3 linked regions of the Cricetulus griseus genome follow. The protein of the gene in region 2 interacts with the protein of the main gene of each other region in a biochemical or structural test. Links are inferred from orthologs where the notes say so. Each region holds a gene or a part of one and is shown on either strand. Other genes may lie near its edges.

Region 1 (3,210 bases), on a different chromosome or scaffold from region 2:
AATCTGTCAGGTGAGTAGGTACTAGGCTGTAGTCTTGACCCTAGGTAGAGATTTAGTTAGCTGGTGGCCTGCAGGGTGCTGCCTAGATATGCTTTTGATAATAGTCTGTCCCCACTTCTCCTTTGGCTATTTTCACTATTATAGGAGCTTCTCCCTAGACTTCTTGAGGCTGTTCATTAAAAGTACTTGTAGGCCTGTCACCGGTGAAGAATGACTGTCTTTCCCTTCTGTGTTGAGCTCAGAATTGTAGTTTCCCAGCCCATGGTCTCATTTTTCTTCACAGCCACATCTGGGATACCAGGTTGTCCATCCTTCCCATTGTGGAGATGAGACTGACATAGAGTTTCTGTGGTGCCTTGGTCACCACTCTTAGTGGAACATAGGCCTGTTGGTCCCTGAGCCCTAATGTCTGCTGCCTGCTTTCAGCCAGTCTTCTGCCAGCCTCTTCCAAGTTAGTTCCACCCTAGTCTGGCAGGGATTCTCGCTTAGTATTGCCAGTCACTATCTAGGTGCTAGAGCTGTAAGCAAGCAGTTCTCAACATCCCTGTCCTATCCATTTCATAGGTTTTCTTCCCTTTCTTGGTGGGACACGGTGAGGAGGTAGGTATAGGTAGTGAAAGGGGTGGTGGTGGCGATTGGTGCCAGCTGGGCCAGGTATGTTGGAAAAGAAATGATGCTCTCCCATCTGGTGAAGATTGTAAGCTTCTCTCTTACCCAAGACTTCTCATGAATGGTGCCTCCTCCCAGATTTGGATCCTAGCAGGCTCTGCCTTCCCTCCCTTCTTGCTCTGTACCTCATAACTTGTACTTCCACTGGGCATGGTGCTACAGAGGCAGGAAGGTGTCTTTTGAGGTTTGAGACCTTCCCTCAAAAATAAATAAACCCAACTAAATAAAACTCTTCTTCCATCAGAGCCTTTCTGTGGCTATTCCTGTTGCCTCCGTGTGTGTGGCCCACAGGGCCTCATGGTACCTGGATCTCAGTTATGGTGGCTTTGTCTCTGCCACCTGGCCTGTTGGATGTCCTATGTTGCAATTCCCCTCTGCCTAGAACACCCTTCCCCATATTTCTTGGTTCTCACTTCCCTGTTGAGGCCCCATTATCACCTGATGCAGTTTTCTGTCTTTAATTTCCTTTCTGGGGCCTGGTTTAGGCCATTCTACTTAGAGGCTGCCGTTTCTCTGGCCCTCCCAGTATGGATAAATTGGGGTTTCTAGCACTCAGTTCCCTGTTGCACTCACAGGGGCGGAGGGCTTCACTACCCAGGAGGACCAAGAGATGCTGAGCCGTATCGAGAAGCAACTCAAGCGCCGCTTTGCCATTGGCTCCCAGGTGTCTGAACACAGCATTGTTCAGGACTTCACCAAGCAGGTGAGCTTTCCTAAACATTGGGAACCTGTAAACCACACCCAGGATACACAGAAGGTATCCTGGTTCCCTTGATCTGTGTTCTATGTTCAATAGTGGAGTACTGGGGAGGGGGGATGTTTGAGCCACTATTCTTTCCCTAGGAAATGCTACAGTTGGGGTTGGCTGTTTATATATACCGTGAAGTGGGAAAATTTTAGAAGCCAGGTTTGGAGAAACTACCACCTAATTTCCCCATTTCTTAGTCTTTCCCTTATTGCTTGGCTCATTACAGGGTAGGGAGCCAAGAACCAGATGAATGAGCCCTGTAACCCATTGGGCAGAGGGCTATTGATCCCATGCAGAGGAGATGCTGCTATTGGATGCCAGGAGGAACCTGTGCCCTTTAAAATCAGGAAGATAGGCCTGGTTTCTGTTCTTGGCTTCCTTTCCCGTGTATCCTCTCAGTTTGCTTCTGGAATAGTTTACACATTAGCTGGTACTTGCCCTGCTCTATAGGTGAGAAAGAAGATTAGCATTTACTGAGGCTGGGGCTGGAGAAAGTTAGGTTTTTAGGGTCACAGGGACTTCGGTGTTAGCTCACTTAATTGCTATATGACCTCAAACAAGTGACACCCTCTGCCTGTTTCTTTGTGAAATAATTCCTAATACTGGTTGCAAAAAAGTTGACATAAGACTATACTTTCCTGGTACACAGGCATTACAAAGTATAAGCCCTAATGATATGAAGTCAAGGGAGAATGAAGGTGGAAGCTTTTTGTCTGATGTAAAGTTGTCTATGAGCAAGGGGGTTCATGGGCTCCCTTGGGTCTTGATAATCTCTGTATGTGTCTTCTGCTCCCTCCTACAGAAGTATCCAGAGCATGCCATCCGAAAGGTGCTGCAGCTCATGCTGCGCAGGGGAGAGGTCCAACACCGCATGCAGCGCAAGGTGCTCTACCGCCTCAAGTGAGCCCACTGCCTGTCAACCCTCAAACCTGAATGCGGCCACTGCTCCACCTCCATGTTCTTGCACTTGTGCATACCTCCATCAGAAGGAGGATGTATTGCCTTACTCTCCCCTCTGACTGCTGCCTGCTGTGCATCTGTAGCCCCTGGAAATGTGCTTTGGTCTCTTGGCCTCATATACTGTGTTTGGATGCCTGAGAGTTTTGGTGTAGGTGCCTAGTCTCTGTCCTGCCTCCTTTGCAAGCAGGAACAGGCTCTGTAGGTAGACAGGTCTGTATACTGGCTCCTGGGCTGCCAGGCTGCCGAGCTTCTTCATGTGACGAGAGGAAATAAAGTAAGTCCCTGGCTGCTAAGAGCAGTGGAGCCAGTGTGACAGTGGTTCTGTGTAAAGTGTGGGGTTGACTCACTCAGCTTTCTACAGCAGCACCTGATGGGAGAACTGGATTATTCACTAAGTTTGTCTATCTGTGCCTCAGTTTCCTAATGTGCAAACAAGTTTGACATTGCCTCATAGGGTTGTACTTGAGCTCAGTGAGTTCAGTGGTTGTCAGTGAAAATCCAAGTAGGCTGCAGTGTAGAAAGCCTCCAGTGACATTTGAGGTTTTATTTACATCAAAGTGGGCTAGGTGAGTTTCTGGGACCTCCATACTGTGTATCTATTCCTGGGAAAGGAACCAGACTTCAGGCCTTATCAGTAATAGAGCTGAGAGGACCTAACCTAAGTCCAGCATGGTAGAAAGTACTAGGAAAGAATTGTTAAAGGAAGATGCTCTCCAGCACTTTTATTATCAAAATACCACAAAGAGTTTTGTTATGCTTTTAGAAATCTAGAATTCATGAAATTAAGGAAAAGTGAATAAAATAAAGTATCTGTTTTTTGTTTTTCGAGACAG
Region 2 (4,008 bases):
GATTTTTTTTTTAAGAGTGGAATGACATGGTCAGCTTTGCAATTAGATAAAAATCACTCTAATGACGAGGCGGAGAATGAATTAAGTGAGAGCAAAGAGCTGAGGCAAGGCAGTCTTTTGGGAAACTACTGCAGTAATCCAGGCAAGAGGATAGGTGTGGTGCAAGAGGTAGAGAGAAGTCAAAAATGAGACTTAGGAAACAGGAGTGAGACCCAGTGAGGCTTAAGGACCAAGCGTTGGGGACCGGGGAGAAGGCACATAGCTTCTGTAACTGGTCATACATCATTTCCAAAGTAAGAACAGGTATGAGGAGCGAGCTGGTGGCTTTTGTTTTGAATATAATGGGCTTATAGAGTCAGAAGTGTCCAAGGACAGGGAACTGTGAGCGTGGAGGAAATCCAAGGAAGGGTTGGTATACATCTAGGAGTGATCCAGGACATGGAAGCTACAGAGGAGGCCATCAAAGGTACAATGGGAGAAGGGCAGGTAAGGTCCTGACTTTCGCACTTAGTGGTTTGGTAAAGGAGATGGGGGCCATAGAGAAGTCCAGAGAGGCAGGAAAGGGCAAGAGGTTCTGAGTCATGACGACTAAGGGGGAAAATCTTCAACAACAGAGGTGTCAGCTGGGTTAAAGCTTTGGTTTTTGTTTGTCTGTTTGTTTTACTTCTTAATTAGATTTATTCATTTTATTTCATGTGTTTTACTTGCATGTTATGTACGTGCACCGTCTGCATGCTTGGTGTCTGTAGATATCAGGGGCACCAGATCTGGCACCTCCATGTGGACACTGGGGATCCAATCTCCCTCCCCTGCAAGAACAAGTTCTCTTAACTGCTGAGTTAAAGTTAAGTCCTTGTGTTGAAGATTTTTAAACAGCAAGTTAAGCGGACGTCTTCTGGCTTTAGTAACACAAAGGTTAATCCTAGTCCCCAACTTTGCGTTCTCGGCGATGCGGCTAGTTAATGCAGGGTCTCGAGACTGAGCCTCTGTAAGCACACAGCTTCCCTCTCGTTGTTCTCCAAACTTGTAAACAGAACCTCCAGACTGCGGTTTGCACGGCTCAGAGGAGTCCCAGGTTCTCAGCCGGGGTGGGGAGCTGGGACAGGAAGGGCGAGCAACAACCACGCAGCGCGGGGGGAGGCGGCGCGCCCGCGGAACAGCCGGCTAAATCTCGCCTCTGATTGGCTGGTGCGGAAAGAGGCGGGACGCCCTCCGGCCTTTTCTCCCGCCCGGTGCTTTCGTTTTTCTGCTCTCAGTCTGTTGAGGCGCCTGGGCTACCACGGCGACCGCGCCCCTCAGACCCTCTTGGGACACAGCTGAGAGGCACAGGAACATCTGCCCAGACTCGGGCACCCGCGTGCAGTAAGTGAGCGCCGGGTGCGGGAGCGGGCGGGAGTGGGGTGCCCCTCCCTAGGCCTGGAGTCCACTGCCTTCAGATGACCTGTCACCCCGCGGAGAGAACGTGAACAGGACCACCGCCTAGCCCTTACCCCGTCCATTCGCACTGCTGGGGTAACTGTGCAATAGAAATCTCTCCCCAGAAGACTCTGCAACTTCCCCCTTAACCCTTGTTCGCCTTACCTCATAGCCACTTTCCACCAATGTAACGATTTCTTCTTTCCACAGTTGCATCCGTACTGTCCCAACCCCAGAGCCGCTGCCACCCTGTGTGTGCAACAGGCACCAAACTTGCTGTGTGTGGTGGTTGCTTGTGTTGAATCCCCAGCCTACACTCGCAGTCCAGTAAGTGTTCTTGGAAACCAATGCATTTGGAACCTCAGTATGCAGCAGCCGCCCTTAGCCAGTTATTTAATTACTGCAGACCCATTAATGGCATACTTATTTAAAAATAATTCCTGGGCACCACCAAAGAGCCCTGGGGTAGGTGTACAGGTGGGCGAAAGTTGTTTTTATCTGGCAGAAGTGACTTGAGCCCTAGCTGCTCAGTGAGGATGCTGGCCTCAAACTTGTAGGATCATCATAGGGTTTGCCTTTTGTTTTCCATTGCCTACTGAAACATACAAAGTTCAGTTGAACATACTGTTCCGTACACAGTAACACTTATGATTTAGGCCACATACCAGTCGCTGTTCGGGGACCAGAGGATGAAAATAGCAAAACTATCCCCTCTGAGGCTCTATGCTTACAATGCTGTGGGAGACAGCCGTATGTTTCACAGGGAAGACTGGAGCTGATGCTGTAATAGCCGAGCAGAATGCAGCAAGGCTGGCGCCAAAAGAAGCTAGATGTAAGCGTGACAGCCAGCTTTAGAAAGAAGGGCCACTTACTTAGAACTTTGATTGTTGGCAGCAGGGTACTCCAGTCAGCAAGGCACAGGCTAGATTGGGAGGGTAGCATGTTTGTAGGAGGCATGGAGACAATTGGTCCTAAGACTTCAGTGGAAGGAGTCACCCCCAAACTCAGTTTGAGCTAGTTGATTTAGGGTATTGCCAGTCCCAGCTGGATTTGTTAAGGTAAATCTGTTGATGCACGGGTTTGTATTTGGTGCTATGTATGCTTAGCACACACAGTCCCTGCAAGCACCTGTGCAGAGTAGTAAGTTGTCTGAGCACTTGGCTAATAAGAGGTTACACAGGCCCCGGGGCCTGAAAGTCCATCACATCTGCTTCAGGCATGCCTCTACTGGGGGAGAGGGCACTGATTTGAATGTCAACACAAGTAAATAAACCAGATGTAAAAAATCAAATTGCTACACAGACATGCCTCAATGATGGCCTGGGGTCCTTTTTAATGGTATTTGAAATGGTAGCTGACTTCATAGTCCAGACATTTCCTTGCTGTCCTTTGGAGGGACATTTGTTTAACAGACATGACTATTCCTGCGCATGAGTGTTTGAAAACAGGTATCTATCCTGCACCTCCATACCCCACCTGACAACACAGACCTTTCTCCAGAGGTCTGACAGAACTAGATTCGCTTCACCACTCTGAATGTGGCAATGCTGGTGGGCACTGGTGTATGTCCTGTTACATGATGGTCATGCAAAATTTGTTCTTAAGACTTTCCTCAATTAGGGATTGCCGTAATTTTTAACCTCTAGGGTTGCAATGTAAAAAATGACTTCTTAATTATCTTCTTTATTCTTTCAAATGGCATTTAGCAATGCTGTTTGAATATTTCTCTTTTTCTGATACAGTGTTTCACTGTGTAACCTTGTAGGCTAGGCTTGCACTCATTGTGCTGCTCAGACTGACCTTGCACTCATGGCCTTCTTGGCTCAGCTTTCCCAAGTGCTGTGATTTCAGGTCACCCAGGTCTGGCTGTTGTTTCCATCTGTGGAGATGGTTCCACTGCTCATAGCTCCTGCTGTGCATACAGATCACCAATACCCACATTAAAACAAACAAAGAAAAAAAGAAACCAGGTGTAATGACATGTGACTGTGACTTCAGTACTAGAGAGCACATGGCTTGCTGGTGAGAATGTCTAACCAAAATGGGTAGAGTTCCTATCTCAAAAAAGTAGAGAAAGGATGGAGGCTGATATCCTGATGTTATCTACATGTGCCTGCCATATTCAAAAGAAAGTTTATTTCTTTTAAAATTTGTTTAACAAAAATACTTTACCATATGAATCATAAATACGAAATATCAACTTAAGTCAGAGAGATGGTTCGGTGGGTAAAGCTCTTGCTGCCAAGCCAGAGGACTTGAGCCGTGTTCCCAGGACCTGCGTGGTGGAAGGAGAACCAACTCCTGCAGGCTGACCTCTGACCTCCACCCACATGATGTGGCACAAAACAGGCAATAAACAAAGTGTAATAATCCTAAAATACTGGCTTTAAAATGTACTGTAGTTTGTAGAAGAAGTTTTAGAAAGTGCTTTTGTGATATCTTAATTCTATTAATGTTTTCTACTTGATTGGCAAAAAGTAGAAATTCATTTTTAAATATTTATTGGCTACCCAGTTTGTACCAGACATTGTTCCCTCTCCTTTTCTTCAGATGAAAAAAAAAAAAAGAATGAAGTAAAAAGAAAAAAAGTGC
Region 3 (3,518 bases), on a different chromosome or scaffold from region 2:
GTACAAATACATGCCACTTGTTGAGGGGTATACAAACACTTGAAGGTATCAGTGCTGTAGTCCCGGGGCCACCCACCAGGGTCCATGGAGTACAGAGCACTGTCTATTCTGCTGTTCTGGCTAGGCCCAAAGAGAAGACAGGACCTAGGGTACCTGTGCTGGCCCCATAGCCAGAGCTTGCTTCCCAGTGTCCCAAGTCTCCCCAGTGCCAGCTCTGTCCTGACTCAAGCTTTTCCAGCGGGGGGTGGGGGAAGAAGGATATAGGGCAGACTGGCAGTACACTCAAGCCAAAGTCCCTCTCCTCACACAGGGCCCTCACATACGTAGCCCGGTAGAGTTCGAAGCGGCCTTTGTCCTGAATGTGGTACATCAGGTCACCTCCATTGAGGAACTCCATCACAAAGAACAGGTGGTCCTGGGGGTAGGAGAGAAGGGATAAGCAGAGATAAAAGTGACAAGAAGGAGGTACCCTTGCAAAAGATCACAGAGCCCCAACAGGATGTAGAGAGCATAGAATCTGGGCTGAGGTTGACAGCTTAGGAGGTATGACTGTAACAGACACAGCTCCACTGTGGGGGAATGATGGGGTCGGGGCACAGGCAATGGCAGGGAAAGGCCAAAAACCTTGGTCTGGAAGGTACAGAAGAGGTGGGTGAGAAAGGGATTCTCCCAGGCGAGTGCCAGCACCCGCTTCTCCACCATGGTGCACTCCACATCATCGTCGATCAACACCACGTCCTTCTTCAGGCACTTGACCGCAAAGAACTGGTCTTTGCCCTTTAGCTCCGCAAGCAGTACCTAGCGATGGGCAGGATGCTGAGCAAAGGCCCTGGAGGTTACCAGCACCCAGCTTCTGGTGTGTAACAGGAAACACCTGAACACTGGCCCTCAGGCTGCTCTCACCTTGCCAAAGCTGCCCTTGCCTAGCACTTTGTGGAAGACGAAGCGATCAATGCTGCACCGGGTGCTACCCTCCCAGATCTTGCCATAGGTCCCGTTGTTGTCTGTTAGAGAGATAAAGAGACTAAGGTCTCGGGGCTACATGACTCCCTTCCCAGGGGGCAGGAGTGGGCTAGGCAAGGGTCTCAAGAGTAGAGAGAAGGGGCTCACTTCCCATGGGTAGGACCTCTTCCCAGAACTTACTAGACAGAAAGACTTACTGGAGTCCCAAGGGTGGGCTGGGGAAGGGGTCGGAGAGAAAGGGGCTCAGTACCTCATCCCAGGACTCACGCAGCAAGGAAGACCGGCCCCTTTGTTTGCCCTTTTGGGGAATGGGAGCTTTAAAGGGGATATGTGACCCAGCTTCACCTGGGGCGTCATCCCCAGAAATTGTCATCTTCTTCTCGAATCCCTGGTATATTCCAAAACTCTCTGGCAATCCCGAGTCCAGCTTCCGTGAAGATCTCTAGGGAAAGGGCATAAGAAGGAAGCCAAATGGTAAGACCACTTTCAGAACTCCTAGGCCACAATATCCCCCTCAATTCCACTGGTGTCAGAAGGGTGGAGCCCAGGACTCCCAGGCCATATTCCTCCCTTCTTCTGGTCTTGTGATCTGAAAGGCACAGAAATTTAGTGAACTGAATCATAACTTCCTAAGCATTTTTTTTTTTTTTTTTTGGTTTTTCGAGACAGGGTTTCTCTGTGTAGCTTTGGAGCCTGTCCTGGCACTCACTCCGGAGACCAGGCTGGCCTCTAATTCACAGAGATCCGCCTACCTCTGCCTCCCGAGTGCTAGGATTAAAGGTGTGCACCACCAACGCCCGACCTTCCTAAGCATTTAATAAATGTTTAATTTTGTCAAAAATTGTTTACATTTCCTTGTGTATATGTGTATGTAGACATGCATATGCATGTGCACACATGCAGATGTCACAGGACAACCTATGGGATGTTTCTCAATGATTCTGCATGTTTTACGGAAGGAACTCAGGCTATCAGGCTGTGTGGAAAGCACCATTACCCACTGAAACATCTTGCCAGCCACTAACTTCATTTCTGGCCCTAGAGTTTTACTCTAAAGTTTTGTATTATCCCTTAAGTTCCAGTCACATCTAAATACACACACACCATAAGAACCCCATTCTTATCCACCCACCACACATTGCATTCACACACTGTATACACGTACACATATCATATATATTATGCATGTACAGCACAGAGGACATGTATACACAACACACACTCCACATGCCACCCACTCCTACATATAACATACCAAATACACAATGCACACCATGTAAACAAACCATATATACTATGCACATACCACATATTCTATATATACCACCCAACCACAGATAACACATTCTGGACACACACACTACATACCAAATAAATACCACATACGCAACACCCACACTACACATATCAGATACACCACACATACCACACAATACACCATACATTACGCGTATAACATAGACCTCGTCCTTGTTCAAAATGTCCCAACACTCAACTCTGCAGTTGCCATCTCACCTCAGGTAAAGAACTGGCTGGATGATGAACTTCCCAAGATAACAAGGCCACCTCTCTGCCACCTTAATTCATCAATGAATTAAGGCCTTACCCACCTTAGGGCCCCCCAGGCATTCTGTGAGCCCCGAAACCCTCTGCTTGCACTGCCCTATGTCCAGATCCCACTGCCCCTGCCTACCTGGCTCACTTGGTTCAAGGCCTCAGCCAAGAGCTTCTGGTTGATGCCACATAGGTTGGCCACCTTCTCTCGGCACTTGTGGTGCACATTCATGCCACAGTCTGCAAGAGGCAGAAGCAGGGCCACCACTGTTAGGTCTCATAAACGAGCAGGAAGGGAGGGGGACAGGGAAGGAGAGGGAGGCGGGGAGATAGGAGGACCTTTCAGACCTTTCAGACCTTTCAGGGGTGAGGGCATCTGAAGCAATCATAAGCATTTTGTATACTTCATGGTTTAAATAAAGAAGAAAACATCTGGATGCAGTAACGGATACCCATAATACCAGCAACTGGGAAGCTGAGGCAACAGGACTGCTCTGCATTTGAGGCCAGCCTCAGCTACACTGATCCAGGTCAGCCTGGGCTACAGTGTGAGTCTGAGGTCAAAGATAGAAAGAGAGGAGAGACCAGGGAAAGAGGAAGAGGGAGGCAAGGAGGGAAAAAGGAGAAAGAGGGAAAAAAGAGGAAGGGTGGGAGGAAGAGAAAGAGAGAGAAGAAAGGGAGGGGGAAGGGCAGGGAGGAAGGGGGAAAGGAGACAGAGAGGGAAAGGAAGGGGGACAAGGAGGGAGAGGGAGAGAGAATGGTAGCTAGTTATAACCCCTTCAACATCTGGGCCAAGTGACATGGGCAGCTTTCCTCGAGGCCTTGAGACGGTCCTGAAGGGAAGCCTGGGACAGGGAAGCCTGGAGCAGGGCCTACTAGTGTGTGGCAAGCCTTGGCTAAGCACTTCCAGTCACATGCTCCACAGTAGTCCCCAGCAGCACACTTGAGGATACAGCTCGGAGGCATGGAGACTTGTGGTCTCATAACGGTCAGGAAGGCCA

What was found. The genes of interacting proteins can lie anywhere in the genome.
Region 1: the proteins of Stat1 (region 2) and Mcm5 form a complex in vitro, tested with the Homo sapiens proteins (2 studies listed by BioGRID). The link is inferred for Cricetulus griseus from reciprocal best matches to the Homo sapiens genes STAT1 and MCM5.
Region 3: of the proteins of Stat1 (region 2) and Prkcd, one has a biochemical effect on the other in vitro, tested with the Homo sapiens proteins (2 studies listed by BioGRID). The link is inferred for Cricetulus griseus from reciprocal best matches to the Homo sapiens genes STAT1 and PRKCD.

What each region holds. Positions count from the first base shown.
Region 1 is NC_048596.1:150,892,367-150,895,576, forward strand, and holds the end of Mcm5 (DNA replication licensing factor MCM5), read left to right. Parts: coding exon 1-10; intron 11-564; coding exon of another isoform or gene 565-596; exon of another isoform or gene 597-914; intron 915-1,244; coding exon 1,245-1,372; intron 1,373-2,219; coding exon 2,220-2,321; 3' UTR 2,322-2,707; downstream 2,708-3,210. UniProt on the Homo sapiens protein: Acts as a component of the MCM2-7 complex (MCM complex) which is the replicative helicase essential for 'once per cell cycle' DNA replication initiation and elongation in eukaryotic cells.
Region 2 is NC_048595.1:403,728,022-403,732,029, reverse strand, and holds the start of Stat1 (signal transducer and activator of transcription 1-alpha/beta), read left to right. Parts: upstream 1-1,201; 5' UTR 1,202-1,362; intron 1,363-1,626; 5' UTR 1,627-1,743; intron 1,744-4,008. UniProt on the Homo sapiens protein: Signal transducer and transcription activator that mediates cellular responses to interferons (IFNs), cytokine KITLG/SCF and other cytokines and other growth factors.
Region 3 is NW_023276807.1:189,126,259-189,129,776, reverse strand, and holds part of Prkcd (protein kinase C delta type), read right to left. Parts: intron 2,758-3,518; coding exon 2,657-2,757; intron 1,406-2,656; coding exon 1,231-1,405; intron 1,005-1,230; coding exon 904-1,004; intron 799-903; coding exon 625-798; intron 416-624; coding exon 324-415; intron 1-323.